Oryctolagus cuniculus: one gene and its partners. The protein of the gene in region 3 interacts with the protein of the main gene of each other region in a pairwise test. Links are inferred from orthologs where the notes say so. Each region holds a gene or a part of one and is shown on either strand. Other genes may lie near its edges.

The links.
Region 1: the proteins of DISC1 (region 3) and PCNX4 interact in a two-hybrid assay, tested with the Homo sapiens proteins (2 studies listed by BioGRID and IntAct). The link is inferred for Oryctolagus cuniculus from reciprocal best matches to the Homo sapiens genes DISC1 and PCNX4.
Region 2: the proteins of DISC1 (region 3) and ATF4 interact in binary tests that used the Homo sapiens proteins (3 or more experiments, as listed by UniProt). The link is inferred for Oryctolagus cuniculus from reciprocal best matches to the Homo sapiens genes DISC1 and ATF4.
Region 4: the proteins of DISC1 (region 3) and EEF2 interact in a two-hybrid assay, tested with the Homo sapiens proteins (2 studies listed by BioGRID and IntAct). The link is inferred for Oryctolagus cuniculus from reciprocal best matches to the Homo sapiens genes DISC1 and EEF2.

Annotation. Positions count from the first base shown.
Region 1 is NC_091451.1:10,443,801-10,447,784, reverse strand, and holds the start of PCNX4 (pecanex-like protein 4), read left to right. Parts: upstream 1-1,184; 5' UTR 1,185-1,325; exon of another isoform or gene 1,326-1,737; intron 1,738-2,037; exon of another isoform or gene 2,038-2,093; intron 2,094-3,984.
Region 2 is NC_091442.1:115,754,879-115,758,635, forward strand, and holds ATF4 (cyclic AMP-dependent transcription factor ATF-4), read left to right. Parts: upstream 1-1,337; 5' UTR 1,338-1,541; intron 1,542-1,989; 5' UTR 1,990-2,090; coding exon 2,091-2,307; intron 2,308-2,396; coding exon 2,397-3,205; 3' UTR 3,206-3,257; downstream 3,258-3,757. UniProt on the Homo sapiens protein: Transcription factor that binds the cAMP response element (CRE) (consensus: 5'-GTGACGT[AC][AG]-3') and displays two biological functions, as regulator of metabolic and redox processes under normal cellular conditions, and as master transcription factor during integrated stress response (ISR).
Region 3 is NC_091444.1:51,180,019-51,184,033, forward strand, and holds the start of DISC1 (disrupted in schizophrenia 1 protein), read left to right. Parts: upstream 1-1,215; 5' UTR 1,216-1,300; coding exon 1,301-1,361; intron 1,362-4,015. UniProt on the Homo sapiens protein: Involved in the regulation of multiple aspects of embryonic and adult neurogenesis. Required for neural progenitor proliferation in the ventrical/subventrical zone during embryonic brain development and in the adult dentate gyrus of the hippocampus.
Region 4 is NC_091447.1:59,303,740-59,308,023, forward strand, and holds the start of EEF2 (elongation factor 2), read left to right. Parts: upstream 1-1,484; 5' UTR 1,485-1,637; coding exon 1,638-1,640; intron 1,641-2,273; coding exon 2,274-2,488; intron 2,489-3,301; coding exon 3,302-3,483; intron 3,484-3,580; coding exon 3,581-3,792; intron 3,793-4,284. UniProt on the Homo sapiens protein: Catalyzes the GTP-dependent ribosomal translocation step during translation elongation.

The DNA of each region.
Region 1 (3,984 bases), on a different chromosome or scaffold from region 3:
CTAAGAAGTGAATCATCTGTTAAAGTTTTATCATGAGAATGCAGCGATTCCGTCACGTCTCCAGGCTCCAATGCTGCATTGAAAATCTGAGGTTTAATGAAGCCACCTTCATCAAGCTGCACCTCGCACCTTGGTGTGCCGGAAACTGCTTCTCTAAACCTCCTGAGCCAACCTCAAACTTTTCCTCTGCGGTTTTCTCACCCCTTTCAGCCTTCATAGAATTGAAGAGAGGGCCTTGCTCCAGATTAGGCCTTGGCATAAGGGGAGGTTGTGGTTGGCTTGATCTTTTATCCAAACCACTACAGCTTTTTCAGTATCAGCAATAATGTTTTGCTTTCTTATTATTCGTGTGTTCCCTGGAGTAGAACTTTGCATTTCCCTCGAATTTTTCCTTCGCAGTCAAACTTGGCTAACTGGCACAAGATACCTAGTTGTCCATGTATCTCAGCTTTTGACATGCCTTTCTCACTAAGTAACCATTTCCAGCTTTTGATTTAAAACACTTTTTCGAAGCTAGTTATTAACAGACCTACTTCCCACACCGCTGTGTGTCAGGGACAGTCAGAACACACGCATGTACAGATTAAGTTCACGGACGGACCCAGGCGCAATCCGTGCCATCCCCAATCACCACAGAAGGGCCCACTAATCACACCTCGCCATAAAAAAGGACAATAAGGAAAAAAGCTGAAATATCGCGAGTTAGCAAACCGCGACACAGACAACACAGCACAAGTTGTTGGGAAAATGGTGCCGACAGGCTCGCTCGACGCTGTGTTGCCACAACTTTCCATTTCTAATAAAATACAATTATTTGTGAAGCGACACAAAGTGGAGCGCAATAAAGCGAGGTTGTACACAGTCGCACATCTTCCAACCGAATAGGACGAATGCAGCATTCATTTGAAACGCGGTGACAGGCCGTGGCCGCCAGAGCGCAGACATCAAGATAGCGGGTCGCGGGGCACCCACACTTCCGGGGCTGGCAAAATGGCGGCGGCGCGCCTTACGGAACTACGTCACTACGTCACATCACCATGGCAACGACGCTCTGGCGTAGGGGCGTGTCCGGGTGAAAGGTCCGGCCGTGGTTTCGCGCCCACACCCAAGACGCGGTCGAAGGACCCGCGAGACTCTTACAGCGGAGCGGGGCCGGGTGGGGCGCTGCACCCCGCCTGCCCTGCCTCGCCCGGCCGGCGTGAAGCCCCGTCGGGAGCGCGCGCAGGTGTGGGCGGGGCCCTAGGCGGGCGCGTGCGTGACGCCGCGCCGCGAGCGGCGCCGGCCGGCGTTGACGTTAGCCATGGAGACGCAGGCCGGGGGCCCGGGTGAGTTGGTCGCGCGCCGGCTGGGTTTCCTGGCCTGTGGGCGGCCGCGGTGGTCTCGGAGCTGTTTTCGTGTGGTGTGGAACCTTTAGGTGTGAGGACTGCGCGGCTGCTTAGCCTGTTGAGCTGTAGCGTTTGTTCCTGTGGCCCCTGCGAAATGGAGCCTTGACGGAGGCTTGGCCGCGCGACCACCCGCTCCCCCCAGGAACTGGGCAAATTTCCTTCAGTGAGGCCAGGGCCGCCTTGCGCTTAAATAGCCACCGCCCCCCAAGCCGGATCCCCAAACTCTGTCCCAGCCTTCGGGTCGGATGTTGCTGTTTGAGTCCTCTGACTGCTTGGGACACCTGTTGGCGGCCCCTGTATTTTCTAGTTAAGGCGCTGCCTAGTCATCATTCATTGCTGCAGAAGATGCCAGGTAAGGGAACCTTTTCCCGAGAGCTTTATTGAGATATAATTCACATTCCGTGAGATTTACCCACTGGAAGTGTATATGGCACTGGTCTTTAGAATAGTCACAGAATTGTGCAGCCGAAAGCAATCGGTTTTAGAAACGTTGTGTTGTTGCCCCTAAAAGAAACCGCACACCTTTCAAGCCCTCAACGCCCCCCACCCCAAGCAGTTCCCATGATCTCCACTGGAGTTGACAGTTGGCCCTGGAAATGGAGACCCACCCCCCACGCCCCCAGCAACCAGCAGTGTATTTTCTGTCTCTGTAGAGGTGTTTCCTGTGCATCTTGCAGAATGCGACCCCTTGAGACTGGCGTGTAACAGGTAGCCATAGTGTTTGGGGGTTCATGCATGCCGCAGCCTGTCTGCTTCATCACTGACCGCCTAATCACACTCCATTAGGTGATGCCTCACATTTTATCCATTCAGCTGTTGATGAACAGTTGCATTGTTTCTAATTTGGGCAGGCAATATTTCTGCTGTGAATGTTTATGTGCCAAGTTTTTGTGTGAACATGGTTTCATTAACCTGTGTGCTTACCTAGGAGTAGAATTGCTGGGTTATATTGTCATGGGGGTGGTCCTTGGCTAGGCTCGGTCCGGGTTCTTGTCTCCATGCATGAAAGAAGTCGAGGAGGAAACGAGGTGTACAGGAAAGCAGGATTTACTTAAAGAAAAGGGAAAGGTGCGGGCTATCTTGTTATGGTATTGCGAGGCATAGGGGGTGGTGTCTGGCTGCGGCTTGATTGATCATTCAAAGGGAGCAGAGTTTGGTGCAGCACCTGAGTACTGCCCATTTCTGTGCCCTGTTTTGGAAATCTCAGAAGTGTCATGGTGTTAGGGGCACGGTGAGAGTAAAAAAACTGACCCTAGTAATTTTATTATTATAATAATTTAATGATATAAATGTCATGGGAGAGTCACTGTCTGCAGCCATTTTGGATTGTTATAGCTGATGCTAATTTCTTTTAATATTTTATTTATTTGAGTGGTAGAGTTACAGACAGTGAGAGGTAGAGATAGAGAGAGGTCTTCCATCTGCTGGTTCACTCCCCAAATGGCTGCAACGGCCAGAGATGTGCCTATCCAAAGCCAGGAGCTTCATCTGGGTCTCCCACGTGGGTGCAGGGGCCCAAGGACTTGGGCCATCTTCTACTGCTTTCCCAGGCCACACCAGAGAGCTGGATTGGAAGAGGAGCAGCAGGGACTAGGATGCGCGCCTATATGGGATGCAGGCACTTCAGGCCAGGGCTTTAACCCTCTGCATCATGGCACCTCCCCCCATTCTTAAATTTGCAACATTGTGAAACTTGGGGTTTGCACTGCAGGGAAGGGGGAGAGGGCTGGGACTGGTGCATGGAAGGCAGGTTTGGGAAGTGCACAGAAAGGGGGCTTGGGTGGTGCAGGTGGGGCTATGACGTGGACCAGGCAAGGCTGCTGTGCTGTTGGGAGGGCTGGCCTGCGGCAGTGCAGTGCTGTCAAACCTCAGTTCCTCTGCTAGCAGCCCACCTGCCCATATCAGTGTAGTACCCGTGTTTAGTCTCTTGAGGAATTGTGGCTGTTTACCAAAGGGACTGCACCATTTTATATTCATATTAGATGTGATGGAGGGTTTTAATTTTTCATGAGCTCGCCAGTGCTTGTTGTCTGTCTTCCTCCTTCCCCTTCCCCTCCCCTCCCTCCTCTTCTCCTCCTCCCCCTCCCCCTCCCCCTTCTCCTTTTTTTACTCATTTGTAAGGCAGAGAGAGAGAGAGTTCTTCCATCTGCTGGTTCACTCCGCAATGGCTGCACAGTAGTCAGGCTGAGCCGGGCTGAAGCCTGGAGCTTCTTCCAAGTCCTGCACATGAGTGTGGGGGCCCGAGCGCTTGGGCCATCTTCCGCTGCCTTCCCAGGCACATCAGCAGGGAGCTGGATTGGAAGTGGAGCAGGCAGAACATGAACGTGCCCATGTGGTGTGCCGGCATTGCAGGCAATGCTATATGTACTACGGCACAATGCCAGCCCCAGAGAGATGCTTCGTCTACCGATGAAGTTCTTCTATACTAATAGAAAATGAACAGTCTGATAGTAAAAAAGCAACATGAAGAGACAGTCCACACAAAGATAAAATAGCGTTTATTTACACAATACAAACGTATGCATGTAATGAATATTCGCAGAAAAATAGACAAGATTCATGAAAGATTCTATTAAAAAGTAATATTCAGAGATTCAGC
Region 2 (3,757 bases), on a different chromosome or scaffold from region 3:
TACTTGAAAGGCAAAAATTAGGAGTTCTTCCATCTGGTTCGTTCCCCAGATGGCCAAGAGCTGGAACTCCGCCGGGTCGCCCACGTGGGCGCAGGGGCGCAAGCACGGCTCTCCCGGGCGCATCAGCAGGGAGCGGGCGGGACTCCCGGGATGGATGCGGGGTCGCGGTGGCGGCGCGGGAGTCCCACCCCCACCGCCTTCCTCCTGACCCCCGGGCAGAGTGCCGCGCCCTAGGCCTCGGCCGCCGGTCAGTTCCGGGAGGAGCCCCCTGAGGAAGCAGAGTGACCCCACAGGGGTAGCCGGGAGTGGGGACCCCGAGTTAGCGTGGCGGGAGCGCGTCCCGCGCGCGGGCCGGGCCCCAGCACGGCCAGTGTCCGCCAACAGACGGGGGCGCCGGGGCTGCCCGTGCACCCTGGGAAGGGTGGCCCTGGCCCCAGGGCAGGTTGTCTGTCCAGCCAGCAGCGCTCGCGGAAGGGACGCGGGAGTGGAGCTCTGCGGGCCGGGGCCCGGCTCCCCGGGAACTCCTGTCCCCCGCAGGGCCACCGGGCCTTGTCCGGAGCTCGTGGGAACCACCCGGGGTCGCAGCGGGGCTGAGCCTGCAGAGGCCAGAGGCGTCCCCGCAGCGACGCCCTGCAGCAGAAAGGGCGCCGCGGACACGCAGGCTGGCCAGCGGCTCGCGGAGGTCAGCGGGAGGACGCAGAGCCGGCCCCGGACGGCGGCAGGCTCCCCGGCCCCGAGGCCCGGGCCCGCTCGCGGCGGGCTCGCTCGGAGGCCGCTGGGCGCTGATTTCTACCGCTGCGGCCGCCGAGGCTACAACCAAAGGCACGGCTGCACGCCAGGCCGCTCCCGCCCTTTCCCGCGCAGACCCGGGCCCCTTCGCCGAGTGGCCCGCCCCCCTCGGGCCCTGAGCCAATAGGAGCTCAAGGTATATATGACTCCTCAGGCCTGAGCCAATCATCTCGACGCGCGCTCCCCGCCAGCGTCTCGCGCGATAGCCGGGCGGCCTCGGCCTTCACAATAAAAAGCCTCCTTGGAATGAAAGGCTCTTCACGCCCCGCCCCTGAGAGAGATCCCTCCGCGCATCCGGGCATCCGAGGGGGAAAGGACGAGACTCTTTGATCTTGGACGCCTTGTAAAGTAGTGCGCCTTTTTCCCGACGTGAGATCTTGAAAGTAAACTACTTTTCTGTACATGGCTACGCCTCGGACATAAAAGCTCGGGGGAGGAAAGTGGTGGGGACGCCGGGGAGTGGGCAGGAGGCGCGGGTCACATGGCCGCGGCGGAAGGATGCGTCCTGTGATGCGGCTCGGAGGCGACCAAGTCTATAAAAGCCCGGCGGGCCGCGCGCCGCCGCCATTACCGCTGCGCCCGCCCGTCGATGTAGATCTCTTGCGAGCCGTGCCCTTCCTCCTCCCGTCCCGCAGGGCCGCGGCCACCATGGCGTATTAGAGGCAGCAGTGCCTGCGGCAGCGTTGGCCTTTGCAGCGGCGGCAGCAGCACCAGGCTCTGCAGCGGCAACCCCCAGCGGCTTAAGCCATGGCGTGAGTACCGGGCCGGGCGAGGGGGCCGGGGCCCGGCGTCTGCGGGCCCTGGGCCTGGGCCTGGGCTTGGGCGCGGCCTGCGGCCGGGGGTCGGGGCCGCGTCGCCGAGGCGGAAGCGGTTTTACGAGCGCCGGGGACGCGTGGTTCCTGCTTGCGTGTCCTTGGGCGGGGTCGGGAGAGCGCGGCCCGGCGCCCGCGTCCCCGGGGAGGTGGGGGCGCGCTGTCCTCGGAGCCCCGGCCCCCGCTCTGCGCCGGCGGGGGTCGCGGTGGCCGCCCCGCGAAACGTGGCGGCGGCCAAGATGGCGGCGGGAGGCGGCGCGGGGTGAGTCACGGGGCGGGGCCGGGCGGGCGGGCCGGGCGCCGGCCCCGGCGGGGGCGGCCATGGCCGCTGTGCACCTGCCGCCCGGCCGGCCCCCGCCCTGATGGCGCCCCTGCCGCTCGCCCGCAGGCTCCTCACGGCACCCAGCAGCAGCGTTGCTGTCACGGACAGAGACACCTTCGAGCTGAGCCCCTGCCCCGGTTCCAGCGCAGCCCCGCGACACGGCCGACATGAGCTTCCTGCACAGCGCGGGGTTGGCGGGGGACTTGGCGTCCCCCTTCGACCAGGCGGCTTTGGGGGCTGAGGAGGGCCTGGGGCTCCTGGACGACTACCTGGAGGTGGCCACGCCCTGGAAGCCTCCCGGGCCCCCCGGCGACAAGGCTGCGGCGGGCTCCTCGGAATGGCTGGCGGCGGACGGGCTGCTGGGCGCCCCCGCCGACGGCAAGGGTGAGCGCCGCGGGGGGTGGGGGTGGGAGGGGGCGCCCGTGTCGGGGGGGGGGCGCCGGCCTCACGCGCCCTCGCTCGCGCCCCCGCAGAGGACGCCTTCTCCGGGACGGACTGGATGTTGGAGAAAGTGGACCTCAAGGAGTTCGACTTCGACGCCCTGCTGAGCTTGGACGACCTGGAGGCCGTGCCCGACGAGCTGCTGGCCACGCTGGACGACTCGTGCGACCTCTTCGCCCCCCTGGCCCTGGACGCGCTCAAGGAGCCGCCCCAGGCAGGGAGCCCGCTCGGCCCCCTCCCCGCGAGCCTGCCGCAGGTCGCCCCCTGCACCTTCCTGCAGCCCCTGCCCCTGTCGCTGGGGGTCGCGGCCGCCTCCCCGGATGAGTCGTTCAGCTTGGAGCTGGGCAGCGAGGTGGACATCGCGGACGGGGACCGGAAGCCCGAGTCGCCCGGCCTGGGCCCCGTGGTCCCGCAGGGCGTCAAGGAGGAGGACAGCCCCTCCGACAACGACAGCGGCGTCTGCATGAGCCCCGAGTCCTGCCCGGGCTCCCCGCAGCGCAGCCCCTCCGCCCCCACCCCCAGGGGCTCCCCGCACAGGGGCCCCCCCGCCCCGGCCCGCCCCAAGCCCTACGAGCCTGCGGCGGCCGCGGCGGCGCGCGTGAAGGGCGAGAAGCTGGAGAAGAAGCTCAAGAAGATGGAGCAGAACAAGACGGCCGCCACGCGCTACCGGCAGAAGAAGCGGGCGGAGCAGGAGGCGCTGGCGGGCGAGTGCCGGGGGCTGGAGGAGCGCAACGCGGCCCTGCGGGAGAGGGCCGACGGCCTGGCCAAGGAGATCCAGTACCTCAAGGACCTGCTGGAGGAGGTGCGGGCGGCCCGCGGCAGGAGGAGGGTCCCCGCCTAGGGCGCACGCACAGGAGGCTCCGCTGTTAATAAATTATTTTGTAGTGAAAGCATTCCTGGGAGTTGTCCTGTGGCTCACACCCTCTGGGCGTGGTGGGGCGGGCAACAAGAGTCCCACGCGGGATGGTGGGATCTGGTCTGGGGCGGGCACTCACTCCATGAGTGGCTGCAACTTCCTTGTTCGGTGTTCCTGTGTGTGTGTGTGGGGGTGGTCACTGGCTCCAGCCTGCACACACACAGATCATGGGAGAGCTGTCTATTCGAAGGCAGAGTTGGAGACGGTCCTCCATCTGCTGGCTCACACACCCAATGGCCACGGCAGCCAGGGCTGGGCTGCAGCAGAAGCCTGGAGCTGACAGATGCAGGGGCCCAAGCACTCACCACAGCAGAGAGCTGCAGCAGCTGGGATTCGAACTGGCACCCACATGGGGTTCTGGCACTGCAGGCTGCTTCACCTGCTATGCCCCAGCACTGGCCCTGAGCTGGGGGGCCAGACCCCGCTGTTCTGGGCCAGCCGTTAGGGACAGCCACAGTCTGGGACCGGGACCCATTG
Region 3 (4,015 bases):
GCTGCTATGGCCAGTGCGCTGTGCAGATCCGAAGCCAGGAGCCAGGTGTTCCTCCTGGTCTCCCAAGTGGGCGCAGGGCCCAAGCACTTGGGCCATCCTCCACTGCCTTTCCGGGCCACAGCAGGGAGCTGGCCTGGAAGAGGAGCAACCGGGACAGAACTGGCGCCCCAACCAGGACTAGAACCTGGGGTACCAGCACCGCAGGCGGAGGATTAGCCTAGTGAGCCACTGCGCTGGCCCAGTTGGTGATATTTTTTAAGCTCTTTTTTTATTTTTATTAGACAGGTAGAGTTATAGACAGTGAGAGAGAGAAAGGTCTTCCTTCCATTGGTTCACTCCCCAAATGGCCCCTACAGCCGGCGCACTGCGCCGATCCGAAGCCAGGAGCCAGGTGCTTCCTCCTGATCTCCCATGCAGGTGCAGGAGCCCAAACACTTGGGCCATCCTCCACTGCCTTCCCAGGCCACAGCAGAAAGCTGGAATGGAAGAGGAGCAACCAGGACTAGCCCTTTCTCTCTGTCTCTCTCCTCTCACTGTCTAACTCTGTCAAATAAATAAAATTTTTAAATAAAGAAAAAAAAAAAACCACGCCTTGCCCTTCCTTATCGCACTGTTCTGTAGCATGAATTACATGGGGGATTCTCCTTGGCTCTTTTGAATGAGCCAAAGAGAAGGTGTTAGTAGGCGAGTCAATGGTGTAGATGCTTGGAACTGAACTAGACGCTTGCAACGGACTGTGGCCTGCCCAGTGCTGCCAGAAGAGTCTAAAAGCTGGAATTCTTTTTATTTCTAAACAACCGCTTTCATGCTTATCCTTCGATGTCACCTTCGGCACTTGCCCTGCACTTGGAATAAAATGAGTCTACCTGATGCTAACTCCCGCACTCACATTTTGGTCACTTCCCAAGACTAGGCATCTGGGAAGAACCTTGCTAAGGTCCTATGCTGAAGGCCGCTCAGCCTTTCCTGCCTGCATCTCCCTTGTCCTGCTTCTGTCCAGAAGGGATCCAGAGCGAAGAACAAACTTTCTGGGGTCCCGAGGTACTAGGCACCCACCAAGAGCCTGCCCGCTGCGCCTGTCCCAGCCAAGGGACTGGATGTATGCTTGCCCTGTGTGTGACCCAGTTGCAAAGGAAACCACTGCGCTCTGTAATGAGAAGGAAGGAGCCTCCCTCTTCTCCCTCAGCCCCCTCCCCACTTCCCGTCCAGAGCGCTACTTCCTCCCAATCCGCCTCCCTCGGCCCGGGGACCGGAGCAGGAGGCAGCCAAGGCGGAACTGGAGGAGCCAGCGGCCCGGCACATGTTGCGCCGGGGTCCCCAGGGCGCCCCGGCCGGCGGAGGCGGCGCGGACCGCGGCGCAGGTAGGGGCTCCGCCACAGCAGCCAGAATGGGTCCCGGGAGGTCTGGGCCGGGCCGGAAGTGCGCCTTTCCCCCTCAGTAGGTCTGGGCGAGCCTCTCTTCACAGCTCCAGTTCGGTGCGCCCCTTCAGAGGTGCGGGAAACCGCAACAGGGCGCGTAAGGTGCAGGTTTGGGAGGAGAGGGTCTGGGGCTGTCAGCTCTGTGCCCAGCCCTCCAAGTCCCTCCTGGCCCGCAGGACTCTGCAGAGCAGTCCGCGGCGGACCCATGCTCGCGTCTGACGGGTCCTGGGCGGCGGCGGAAGGCCCCAGGGGCGTGCTTGGAGTTGGGATGGGTCCTGTCCATCCGTACCCCCGCAGGACAGAGCGGCCCTGCACGCCCTCGCCCGGGACCCGCGGGACCTGGAAGGTGGAAGTTGAGAGTGGGGTAAGGAGCTGGTGAGGGCGCGTCCTCCACAGGCCACGGTGCAGTTTCATTGCAGGCTTGGAACTTGGCGACGGCAAAGCCCTCGCCGGAGCTTCGGCGGGACACCACTGCCCAGACCCTGATTACACCGTCAGCTCGCAGTGGTGACACTGAAGTCATGGCGTAGATGTTTGCTTTCCAAGCATGACAGGACTTGTATCTCTCGCTCTTAAAATACATGCAGAAGTATTGGAAACTTTCTGGAGACCGTGAGATTTGGAGTCAGGGTGTGCATTATGTCCTGGGTGCATCCCTTCCCTCAGAAGTCACAGTGGCCACTAATGACGGGGTCTCCCTGCCTCCTTGGGTCTATGGATGTGAAAGCACTTTGCTAAAAGTGTCTCACTGGTTACACAAACGTGAGCTGGGAAACACCAGGGCCATGAAAGCTGGGAGTTGGAGACAGTGTCTTTGCTTCTCAATCCTGGACTTAGCTGTGCCTCAGTTTCCCCACTTTTAAAATGGGGACCATGACAGTACCCCTTTCCCCAGAGGGTTGCTGCGCCGTTTCGGTGTGGTGGTGGATGTGAAGCCCCTAGCTCTACTCCAGAGACAGACTGCAGGATGAAAAGACTGTCGTTGCTAATTTTCCTAAGTAAAACTGAATACTGTGGCGTTTAAAGGAATACTGGTTTGATTTAAGTACGAAGAGTAGGGTGCTGTAAAAGACCCTGGGTTTTCTTGTGCTCAGGCATGACGCATGGAGTCCCTTGAGGTTCAGTTCAGACTCTGCCACAGAACAAGAACCCAGCCCTGGACAGTAGACCTACTTTGTGGGCTTTGTGACCTTGGACCTCAGTTTTTCTTAACTACTTACAAAAAAAAAAAAAAAAAAAACAAAAAAAAACCAGAAAAGGGGAATAGTAATTCCTGCCATTTAGACCAATAGTGCTACCTGAGGTTCAAATAAAGTAAAACATGTAAGACATCGTGTGGAACAGGAGTCACTGTGCACATACAGGACATCATATTACTAGCAGGAATCCTAACATCTGCAACTTTTTACAACTTCCAGATGTGCTGGGAGCTCTACTGTGCATTCTTTTGATGAACTCTTCCCCAAGCCTTTATGGGGCTGGTAATCAGTCCTTGTTTTCCTATGGCAAAGCTGAGGTTCAGGGTCACCTGCTTTTTTCCCAAGCTCACATAGCTGTTCAGTGCAGAGCCAGCAGTGCACCCCTGTGTGGACACCTCTCCCCATTGTCTTTTCAACCTCTGACTGAAAAGATGTTAGTGAATGGAGCCACGGTTCAGAGCAGACCTGTATTAGATCATAGCTAATGATGCACCCTGCATATCATAAAATGGATGGGTAAATTATTAGCCCTGCATAGGTGACTGAAGAAATCGGAGATTTCTTTCATCCCTATTTCTGTAAAATCCGATGCAGGTTATTCTCTTGAAACAATGAAAAACAAAGGCATGGAAAGCTTGAAAGAACGAATGATGATCTTGCAGATCTCAGAAGAAGTGGAATCTGGATTAATACTTTAACACCTAAATGTGTCAGGACCCTAGGATGGCACACGAGGTGACGCTGGGATGAAGGCTGTTGGTGTCAAGGTCACCTCACAGGGCTGCATCCCAGGATGTTTTTGTGGAGACCTCATGTTCAGCCATGATGCTGGCAGAGGGAAATTGAACTTTTTTTTTTTTTTTGACAGGCAGAGTGGACAGTGAGAGAGAGAGACAGAGAGAAAGGCCTTCCTTTGCCGTTGGTTCACCCTCCAATGGCCGCTGCAGCCGGCGCGCTACGGTCAGCGCATTGCGCTGATCCGAAGCCAGGAGCCAGGTGCTTTTTCCTGGTCTCCCATGGGGTGCAGGGCCCAAGCACTTGGGCCATCCTCCACTGCACTCCCTGTCCACAGCAGAGAGCTGGCCTGGAAGAGGGGCAACCGGGACAGAATCCGGCGCCCCAACTGGGACTAGAACCCGGTGTGCTGGCACCGCTAGGTGGAGGATTAGCCTAGTGAGCCGCGGCGCCGGCGGGAAATTGAACTTTAAACAGAAGAGACTGAAGATCAGATCTTTGTGCTGCATTAACAACTCTTAGTTCACTTGTTTCCTAAATTAAGTTTATTACTTTTTTTTGTTTTTCTAAAAGCAACATGTATTCATTACAAGAAGTAGAGAAAACTCCAAACAAGTAAAAACGAACAAACAAACAAACAGTAAAACCACTGAAATCTCACTA
Region 4 (4,284 bases), on a different chromosome or scaffold from region 3:
TGAACTCCGGAGGCGGGGGGGCGTGGGGGCGTCCACCGACTGTAAGGGGCACCTGGGAGGTTACAGCGGCAAGGCGGGCTTCGTGATCCATTAATTAACCCGGCCCAGCCTCGGCTGTCCCGGGCGGCGTGAACCGGCTGCTCGAGATGTCCGCGTCGCAAATTCTTAGAACGAGTGTGTTTTAACGAATTACGAGGAGCCCCGGGCTGCTCCCCAGGAAAACCGCAGCCTCCAAGGGCGCGCAGTGGCGGCCTCGGGTCGGCAGGGGTCGCTGCTGCGGCCTCCGCGCACGCGCACTGGGCCCGCCCTGCAGAGCCGAGTTTTGGGTTTTTGGTTGTTTTTTTTTTTTTTTTTTCCTCCCTCCCCCGGCCCGCCGCCCCCGCGTACCCGCCCTGCACGCCCGGCCCGTGCGTGCTGCTGCAGACCCCGGCTCTGGCTGCGGCTTCCTCCGCTCGTGGGGCTGGGGGCGAGGGCAGAGGGTCGTGGGGTTCGACGGCCCCGCACCGCGTCCGCTCGGGGCGGGGGGTGCGGGGGCGACCGCAGGGCGGCGCCGGCCCCTGCTCGGAGACGACCTGGGCTGCGCGCGTCTTTGCGGGGCCGACCCGCATTGCTTCCCACGGACGCCCCCGGCCCCTGCCCCAGCCTGTCGCCCACGGACGGCGAGGGGAGGGTCCCCAGGGGGGGCGCTGCCCTCGGATGCAGAACGTAAATAGCACTAAAGCCGCGGCGGGCACCCCCGGAGGCCGCTGCGGCTCCAGCCGGGTCACCTCGGGACACGCGCGCGCCGCGGTCCACGCGCGCCGCCCGCTGGAGAGCAGGCGGAACGCACGGGGCGTGCGTGGGGAGCCGCCGGCCGCGGGGCCCGCACGGCGCAGGCCGGGCTCCGGGGACTGGGCGACGGCCGCTGGGCGCCCCGCACCCGGGAAGTGGGCATCGCAGGGGCGCGGGGATCCACGCACGTGTTTTTTTTTTTTTTTTTTTTTTTTAAGAAGGCTCATTTTCCCACGACCCCTGCTGGGAGACGTTCGCTGCGTTTTTTCGGGGCAGCAGAGTCGATGCATCTTTGCAAAACACAACATTTTTTTTTTCTTTTTTAAGATAAGTCCCTGGGGCCGCGACACGCGAGCAGCTGCAGGAGCAGCAACCGGGCGTCGCAGGCACCCACTCCCCCCTGCGCGAGCCCCTTACGTAATTCCCAAATCAGGAAAGTGACACTTTAGGGACCCTGCTCACAGGGTCTTAACAAAAATGTTCCGCACCGTGCAAGCTAACACGGGCGCTTTGTCTGTCCCAGCCTGCTGCGCGCTCCTCCCCCGGTGCACCTGCACCTTTTGCACGGAAGGCCTGCGCCCGCGTGGGGGCCGCCCGCCGCCCCCAGGCCATGACCCGGTGCACCCCCCCACCCGCCAACCGCGCCGGGCCCTGAGGGGTTAACAGGCGGCGGGCGCCTGTGCGCCTGCGCGTCCAGCGCCTTCGCCCCGCCCCCGCCTCGCGGTCATGTGACCCACCCAACCGGCGTCGGCCTATAAAGGGCTGGGTGTTGACGTCAGCGTTCTCTTCCGCCGCCGTCGCCGCCATCCTCGGCGCGACCTGCCTCGCTCGGGTCTGCTCGGGAGAATCCAACGCCATCCGCCACCATGGTGAGCGCTGCGGGCCGCCCGGCGCCTGGGGGCGGCTGCGGGGGCCCCGCGCGCCCGCCGCTGCCGCGCCGGCCGCCGACGGGGCGGGAGCGCAGACATGGCGGCGGCGGCGGCGGGGCCGGCGGGCTCGGGGCCGGGGGAAGCGGCCGGCGCCATGACTGCGCGCCGCGCGGCTGCGGGGCAGCCGCTGGGGGCTCGCGGGGGCGCCCGGCGGGGACGCGGCCCGGGCGTGCTGATGCGGCGGGCGCGCGGGCCCGGGGCGGCGGGCGCCTTACGTAAGCGGCGGGGCTGCGGGGGGCGCGGGCGGGCTGCCCTCCCGCGGACGCCCGGTGCCACCGTGGCCCGGCCCTTGACCTTCGCCCGCGTGGCAGCCGCGAGGTGTCGCCGTGCACCTGCCGACCCGGAAGCTGCCCTGTTGGACCGAGTGGGCAGCGGGGTCGGGTGGCCCCGGGGGGCGGGGGCGGCTGCACCTGCTGTCACGCGCGGGGGTCGCCCTCCCCGGCTGCTGTCGTGAGTGACAGCCCGGCAGCCGGCTGGGGGCGGTGGGCGGGGCTCGCGGCGGGGCCCCCGCGGCCGCCGACCCCCGCCCGGCAGCTTCCTGGACCCCTGGCATCGCCCCCTCCCCGCGCGCAGGTGAACTTCACCGTAGACCAGATCCGGGCCATCATGGACAAGAAGGCCAACATCCGCAACATGTCGGTCATCGCGCACGTGGACCACGGCAAGTCCACGCTGACCGACTCCCTGGTGTGCAAGGCCGGCATCATCGCCTCGGCCCGCGCGGGGGAGACGCGCTTCACTGACACGCGCAAGGACGAGCAGGAGCGGTGCATCACCATCAAGTCCACGTGAGCGCGCGCGGCCGGGGCCGGGGGCGGGGCGCATCGCTGTCAGGGCGGTGGGGGGGTTGCATTGCTGTCAGGGGTCAGGGTCCTGGGGGCGCACGTCCGGGCGCGGGGTGCATCACTATCAGGGCCACTGGGGGGCGCGCAGCCGGGGGCTTTTGCACGGAAGGCCTGCGCCCGCGTGGGGGCCGCCCGCCGCCCCCAGGCCATGACCCGGTGCACCCCCCCAACCCGCCAACCGCGCCGGGCCCTGAGGGGTTAACAGGCTGTCAGGTCCACAGTGGGGGCACAGCCGGGGGCGGGGTGCGCGGTGGAGGGGGGCTTGCATCACTGTCAGGGGTCGGGGTCTTGGGGGCACGCGGCCGGGGGCGGGGCCTCATCACTGTTTGGTCTGCAGCCGGGGGCGGGGCGGCATTGCTCGGGGGCGGGGCCGTGCCTGCGTCATCAACCCCCCCCAGTGGCCTCTGGCCCCGGGCAGGGCGCTGCTGGCCACAGGTGGCCTGGGCAAGGGCAGGAGTGCTGGGCAGAGAGGGGGTGGGGTCTAGGACCCCTGGGGGCGGGCTGTCCCACTGCAGCATGGACGGTTGTGTCCCCCAGGGACACAGGCCCCCGCGTGGGCATCAGCTCCTGTGCTGTCCCTGTGGTCAGGGCCCAGGGCGACCCCGAGAGGGTCAGCTGGCCCCAGCGTCCCCGGCTCCCGTGTGGTGCAGGCCGGCCCCCGGGGAGCAGAGGGGCAGGTGCGGCAGGTGCGGGTGGGGCCGGCCTTGCCCGGCTGGGGGTGTCCGCCTGCACCGTGACCCGGCCCCCCCCCCCCAGGGCCATCTCGCTGTTCTACGAGCTCTCGGAGAACGACCTGAACTTCATCAAGCAGAGCAAGGACGGCTCGGGCTTCCTCATCAACCTCATCGACTCCCCCGGCCACGTGGACTTCTCCTCCGAGGTCACGGCCGCCCTGCGCGTCACCGACGGCGCCCTGGTGGTGGTGGACTGCGTGTCCGGTGAGCGGGGCGCCGGGCGGGGCGGGGCAGGGCGGGGTGAGGCAGGCAGGGTGAGGCCGGGCCGGGACTGAGCCGGGACTGAGCCGCGGCCCCGCAGGCGTGTGCGTGCAGACGGAGACGGTGCTGCGCCAGGCCATCGCCGAGCGCATCAAGCCGGTGCTGATGATGAACAAGATGGACCGCGCGCTGCTGGAGCTGCAGCTGGAGCCGGAGGAGCTGTACCAGACCTTCCAGCGCATCGTGGAGAACGTGAACGTCATCATCTCCACCTACGGCGAGGGCGAGGGCGGGCCCATGGGCAACATCATGGTGCGTGCCGCGGGGCGGGCCGGGGGTGAGGGCGGGCCCATGGGCAACATCATGGTGCGTGCTGGGGGCGGGGGCGGGGGCGAGGGCGGGCCCATGGGCAACATCATGGTGCGTGCCGCGGGGCGGGCCGAGGGCGGGGGCGGGCCCATGGGCAACATCATGGTGCGTGCCGGGGGCGGGGGCGAGGGCGAGGGCGGGCCCATGGGCAACATCATGGTGCGTGCCGCGGGGCGGGCCGAGGGCGGGGGCGGGCCCATGGGCAACATCATGGTGCGTGCCGGGGGCGGGGGCGGGGCGAGGGCGGGCCCATGGGCAACATCATGGTGCGTGCTGGGGGCGAGGGCGGGCCCATGGGCAACATCATGGTGCGTGCTGGGGGCGGGCCGGGGGTGAGGGCGGGCCCATGGGCAACATCATGGTGCGTGCCGCGGGGCGGGCCGGGGGTGAGGGCGGGCCCATGGGCAACATCATGGTGCGTGCCGCGGGGCGGGC